2 linked regions of the Nothobranchius furzeri genome follow. The protein of the gene in region 2 binds, or shares a complex with, the protein of the main gene of each other region. Links are inferred from orthologs where the notes say so. Each region holds a gene or a part of one and is shown on either strand. Other genes may lie near its edges.

Region 1 (3,731 bases), on a different chromosome or scaffold from region 2:
TGTTTCCTAATAAACATCCTTTGTCGTTGTTCTTCCTCTGCTGTTCAAAGTTTGACTGGACGTCTTTTGTCTGGTGTGTGTTCTGTGCCATCTTTTAGGTGGGAATTTTACTGACACACAAGCAAACTTCGGTACACCATCTTTGTGGTCATAATATCTACACCCTGGTATAACTTTCAGAAACATACAGATGTCATTTAGCATCACAAAGTTCCTGTGGCTAGAGAATGGTTGAAAACTACATTTCAACACTGTTTAGACAGATTACACAAACTGTGGATTTGGACCATCAGATCTGCAGTAGTACCTTAATGAAGTTGTTCAGGTGGCCCAGTTTTCGCATGTTACTGACTCCATGAGGTTTGGCCACATTTTGGAGAATTTCACGGAAGTTTTCAGATGGTTCTGCAAGGGAAAGAAGAAGAAAACAATGCAACGTAACAAAGTGTGAAGCCATACTGGTATAGTATCAGTAATTGATTCACTGCAGGAAGGAAGACGGTCCAGCTCATTTAGCGTGTACAGTCAAAACAAGACGCAATTAAAAGAGCAAGATGTGAGCAGGTCAGCATTTGGTTTGCACGTCCTTCCAATTTATATGTGCTGACCACAATGTTATTGACATAAGGAATGTGGCTGTAAAACAGAGAACTCTATTGGCAAGAAGGATTAATAACTTGACATTGAAATATTGTGAAACCCAGGAAAAGTTCCAGCAGCTCCAGACACTAAAAATACATCAGGATAACCACTTTACAGATTTATTCACATACACCAAGTCCACTAGAACAACTCCACAATAGCTTAGCAGGTTTCAGGACTTTGCAAACGGTTGATTTATTTTATGAATTAAAACAAACATGCACAATAAATCTATGAATTTCATGTTGTTTACTTTTCATTGAACTTTAAAAAACAGCAAACATGTACAACCAAATATCAAGAAAGAAAATATGTTATACAGACTCATCAGTTTGATTTGATGCCCATTCAAATATATATTTAAGTATCTTATATTAGAGGTGGATTTGAAAAAAAGAGCAATGACAATAACTTCAGATAATAATCCTTCATTTAGAGCACAGACTTAGTTTGGTTTCCCTATTTGTAACAATGCATTAGTAGAAAAGTGTACATGCAAATCATTTTAGAAGCATTGCATGGTGGTTTTTTTTTTATTTCAATTTCAGGGCAGGATAAGTGCCAACCATCCAGATTAATCAAAGCTAATCGCAATTGCTTTGTGTCTTTTAAAGATCATTTTAACCCATGACAAGTGTTATTTACGCATGCTTTGATTCTGTTGAACATTCTATTGTTTAACAGTTTGGAGTCAAGCAACCCAATCAATCTTAAAATCTATGATGTCAAGCGCTGAATACAAGTACAAAACAAAAAGTATAATCTATTGAGATTTGATATTTTTGTTTACTTTAATCACTTTCCTTTACCTATTAATAACTTAGTTCAAGAGATAGTGAAATTACTGTAAAAGCCTAGAAACAGCTACAAAAATAACAGTAGACTGTAGTTTGTTGTGTTTGTTGAAAGATCCTCACAAAGAAACAGTTTGCAAACTACAATTAAAAAAGTAACTCATAATTGAGCTTTCATGTCAGTTAGCACTCTCAGGTATCATGAAATCTCATTTATCTGTGCATTCTTCTAGTCTCCTGCTCATTTTGTATCATTGCTTTAAGTTTTTTAGGAAGATTTGCTGTTTTTGTATAAACTGTAACTTTCTCAAAATACTAAGCAAGAACATTGACTGCAAATTAGCCATAAGTAGAAGTTCTTTACACGGAAACTTGATATGAAACATGGCCTCTTTGTATTTTGGCCCTCAAGATATATATGTTTAAAACCTGCAGAGGAAAACTATCGTCACTGATATCTCATATGTTAAACGCCTCCAGCTCCTTATGTCAGCAGATACAACAAAATCCTGATGGATGATGCTGTTCACGAGTGTTCCGTGTAAACAAACCGGTGTTGTTGCTGGAGCAGTGTTTCTGACCCGGCTGAGAGGCTGTAGCTCAAGAACCAGCCTGTGCAGCCATATGTGCTACTTAGCAAACAGCCAGTACACCCAGTTCCTCGTGCAGTCAGTGATGACCGATGCATGAGCTGTCTGGCTGAATAACAGGCTCTGTATCCTACTAGCACCGATCAAAACAACAGCGCGTCGTCATGGCTGGTTAGCTGTGGCAGCTAATCCAGCTCGTTTGTTAGCTCGCTACCGCCCGTTGTTATGACTAGTTAGCAATGTTTTTACACGAAACAGAAAGGAAAACTGACTAAGTAAGAATTGCAAATAAAAATACATATGCACGTCATGGTTTGAGTTTCGTTTAATGGGGCAGTGTTTACAGCAAAGTGCCATGATGATCCATTTTGAAGAATAATCGCTGATTACCTCTGCTTAGATCCAGCGGTACGTTCTCCTCCCCGCTGTCATTCCGACCTGACAAAAACACACACAGTGTACACAAAAACACATCACTCCAAGCTCATCGCGTGTATGGGGTCTTCTATTTTGCAGATTCCCGCTGTTACACCTGTCATTGAACAGAGTTTTTTCAAGCTTACCTCGCATCCGAAGACTCCGTATAGGACGGCCGCGGAAGCTGGCCGCCATGTCTCCAGGAACATACAGTACACACAACACCGGAAACTTCGCGGAATCTCGCGACAATACACGCATCAAAGACGTCGTCTGCAAACTGGCTACGACAGACCCAGTATAAACTATATACGGTATTAATGTCGATGGACAGACCCAGCAGACCTGAGACTAGACCCCTCTGCTCAAAGTCCCTCTGTTGTTTGTGGATATAAAAACAGCAATCTGATCTGGGGACGGGGTTAATCACAATAATCAAATTTCACCACTAACCTCTTTTCATCCAAAAACACATGAAAGTAAAGTTGTTGTAGAGTTTATGACCATTTCAATCATGCCAGATTAAGACCATGACACTTTATTATTGTGGATTAGTATTATATATTTACACATTTTCTTTGACAATTGACTGCTTCTCTTTGATTAATTGATTAAACTAGTAAGGGTTGACTTAAGTAGTGTGATCTAATATTTATGAACAATCCAAACTGTTTTCTAAGCAAATGGTTCCCAATCTTTCAGCTTCAGACCCTCAAAGTAGCAATTGTCAAGACATGTGACCCACAAATATCTGATTTTAAACCATGCATAAAAGCTTAATAATTTAGGGCATAAGAAAACTGCTTCAGTTCATGTACAGTAATATACATTTATGACAATGTAGTTAAGGTTTGTAACAGTTATTATAAATAATATAGCTTCAGCAATCTTGGAAATTGTCTCAAGACCCCCCATGTGGTTCTTGGTGACCCACAGCAGGATCCCAACCCTAGCTTTGGAAACCACTGGATATTTTGCCCATGAAAGCCAAAACATTCCCAATTTATTTCACAAATACAACCTACTTTAATGCAACAAAGATATATTTAGCTATCTGGCAATGAAGTATTGCAAACTAGCCTAGTAATGTTCCCATTTTGCTTTCTTGATGCTATAAATTGTTAGGATGAACACATTTATTTTGGTTAAACTTGAAGGTTTCTAGCAGTTGCCACAACTTTTGCTGCATTACACCTAGGCTACAGTATGTTTACAAAAAGCAAAATGGCTGTTTTTTTTACTTGACTTAAAATGACTAAACTGCATAGTAACAGTCAACATGCAGTGT
Region 2 (2,359 bases):
TGCATCCTGTCTGAGATGGGACTTATTTGTTTTAGAGCTGGTGGACTCCACACAACCAAGAGAGTTGATGATGTGCTTTTTCTGTTGTTTTCTTGCCTTACAGGTCATGCTATATTTAAACTCACCTATCTGAGCAACCATGACTATAAGCCTCTGTACTTTGAGTCTGATGCTGCTACGGTCAATGAAATAGTGCTGAAGGTGAGTTTTTTCTGACTCTGACTGTAACCTGCTCCTGTCTGAGGACAAACACTCACATTTCTCTACTGCTGTGGAAGAAACTCATTGGTTTAAATTGTTTACCTAAATGGTAAATGGCCTGTGTTTGTTATAGCGCCTTCTAGAGCCCTGGAACCCCCCAAGGCGCTTAACAACACAATCAGTCATTCACCCATTCACACCCTGGTGGTGATGAGCTACACTGTAGCTACAGCTACCCTGGGGCACACTGACAGAGGTGAGTTTGGTCCCTCCAACCACCACCAGCAGCAGGCAAGGCGGGTTAAGTGTCTTGCCCAAGGACACAGCGACAGACTGAGCGGGGCTCGAACCTGTAACCTTCTGATTACGAGGCGAGCACTTAACTCCTGTGCCACTGTCGCCCCAACAGGAAGTTGAGCCCAGGCCTGACAGATGTTTACAGTCTGATGTCTGTGCGTCCATTTGGAGCAACTCTTCAACACTCTAATTCAGTTAGGCTTTTTTATCACATGTTCTTTAATTAAAAACGTCCTTAATGAACATAATGGACAGTGATATTTGTAAATGGGACTGAAATGCTGCTTTCACCAAAGTGCTGCAGCTGGACTCAGGTCAGAGGAATGTTGCAGCTCATGGTGATAATCTGGTTCACCAGAAAGTTAAAAGAATAATTATTTTCCTCATTATTTTGATTATTTGTTTAGTTTGAGGTTTTCTGAACCTTTGAGGATAACCAGTGGTGGAGTATTAAAGTCCCACTCTGGCTGTTTTTGTTGAAACCACTTATGTCAAATGTACCTTGAGTGATTTTCATAAAAATGCCGTCATCCATCATCCACAGCATCCCTAAATATCCGGTTCTTTCTGCTCTGGGAGACCATTTTCCAGTGATGGAGACGGTTCAGATGTGATATTCTTGAATAGATATCTGAGCAGAACACATTCCATCATCACGCCATACATGCTATGACTGAAGCAGTTTTGTGTTTTGGGGTTTGCGTAGGTTAACTACATCCTGGAGTCTCGGGCCAGCACCTCTCGGGCTGATTACTATGCCCAGAAGCAGAGAAAGCTCAGTCGTCGGACAAGTTTCAGCTTCCAGAAAGAGAAGAAGACGGGTCAGTAGACAGAAGCTGCTGGTGCAGACCTTTTCCTGACCATCTGTCTCTCTGATGCTCCTGATCCGGAGCTGGAGACCTACAGGATAACAGGCAGGTTTTCCTGCTTTCGTTGATCCAAGCTGGAGTCTCTGAATCTCCGCAAGGGAGCAGATCACGTCAAAACGGAAACTTAATTTCAACAGACTGAAGAACTGTGGACAGTTTGGCTGTTGTGTAGCAGTCAAGTATTTTGTTCTCTCACTGCCTCTGTATTTAAATTCTGTCTTTCAAGATGTATTTGTAAAACTTCTACAAGTTGGTCGAGTTAGCCCAACAAACAGATCACAGCTACAGGCAAAAATCTGCTTCTGTTCCTTCTTTAACCCACTGGAGTGGGCCTGTTTTTATGTACTGTTTAAAAACATTTTCTATTCAGGAAATGAAATATTACAAACCATACTAGCTCAACTGCTTTGAATTACCTTCTTTCTCCAGTCCTCCTTCTGAAAGCATCGTTTTAACCATCTGGTACCTGCACCAGACACCTGGGTTATTTCTGGCCCTACGCTTTACCATCACCTACAAAGCTACTATTTCTTTTCATGAAAATTAATTAAGAAGCAGCTGAGATGGGTTGGAGAAGCATGAGATAACCCTGCAGCTAACTGGCGAAAACTTTTGCTCATCATTTTAACGGATGTTTAGAATCCCAGCGAGGGTTTAAAGGCGATCTGGAAAGTCTACCAGTAGTGTTAGAAATGTGTTGCTTCCATTGACAGCCCAGTGAGAGACTGGTTTAACTAAATGCTTCCAGACATTTGGAACGAACTAAAGACAAACTCACTGAGACTTAATGAAAATGAATTCAGAGGAACAGGACATAAACGGCATTTTTAAATTTTCCAACTGTCTGTAGAGAATGACACCAGTAATTTTATAATAATCCCATGTTTAATTAAAATAGAGATGTTTTGATTCGATGACCATGAAGGTTCAGTACAGTGATGCACAGATCCTGTTCTCTATTGTTGCTGTGTCACTGCCACTCTGCTGGATCG

The links.
Region 1: the proteins of mapkap1 (region 2) and rapamycin-insensitive companion of mTOR are in contact, whole or in part, in a cryo-EM structure (PDB 7PE7), measured with the Homo sapiens proteins. The link is inferred for Nothobranchius furzeri from reciprocal best matches to the Homo sapiens genes MAPKAP1 and RICTOR. Residues at the interface, in NP_001006618.1 of Homo sapiens: Ala2, Phe3, Leu4, Asp5, Asn6, Pro7, Ile9, Ile10, Leu11, Ala12, His13, Ile14, Arg15, Gln16, Ser17, His18, Thr20, Ser21, Asp22, Asp23, Thr24, Met26, Cys27, Met29, Val30, Leu31, Ile32, Asp35, Val36, Ser84; in NP_689969.2 of Homo sapiens: Arg108, Gln137, Glu140, Thr144, Leu147, Arg148, Arg151, Lys152, Thr155, Arg182, Met183, Arg185, Ala186, Ala189, Cys192, Glu193, Leu196, Leu220, Arg222, Ile223, Glu225, Ala226, Leu227, Thr229, Thr230, His233, Asn236, Arg293, Trp295, Glu844.

The regions. Positions count from the first base shown.
Region 1 is NC_091757.1:36,632,861-36,636,591, reverse strand, and holds the start of rapamycin-insensitive companion of mTOR, read right to left. Parts: upstream 2,932-3,731; 5' UTR 2,705-2,931; coding exon 2,590-2,704; intron 2,465-2,589; coding exon 2,417-2,464; intron 406-2,416; coding exon 308-405; intron 1-307. UniProt on the Homo sapiens protein: Component of the mechanistic target of rapamycin complex 2 (mTORC2), which transduces signals from growth factors to pathways involved in proliferation, cytoskeletal organization, lipogenesis and anabolic output.
Region 2 is NC_091746.1:37,017,418-37,019,776, forward strand, and holds the end of mapkap1 (target of rapamycin complex 2 subunit MAPKAP1), read left to right. Parts: intron 1-103; coding exon 104-201; intron 202-1,204; coding exon 1,205-1,327; 3' UTR 1,328-1,769; downstream 1,770-2,359. UniProt on the Homo sapiens protein: Component of the mechanistic target of rapamycin complex 2 (mTORC2), which transduces signals from growth factors to pathways involved in proliferation, cytoskeletal organization, lipogenesis and anabolic output.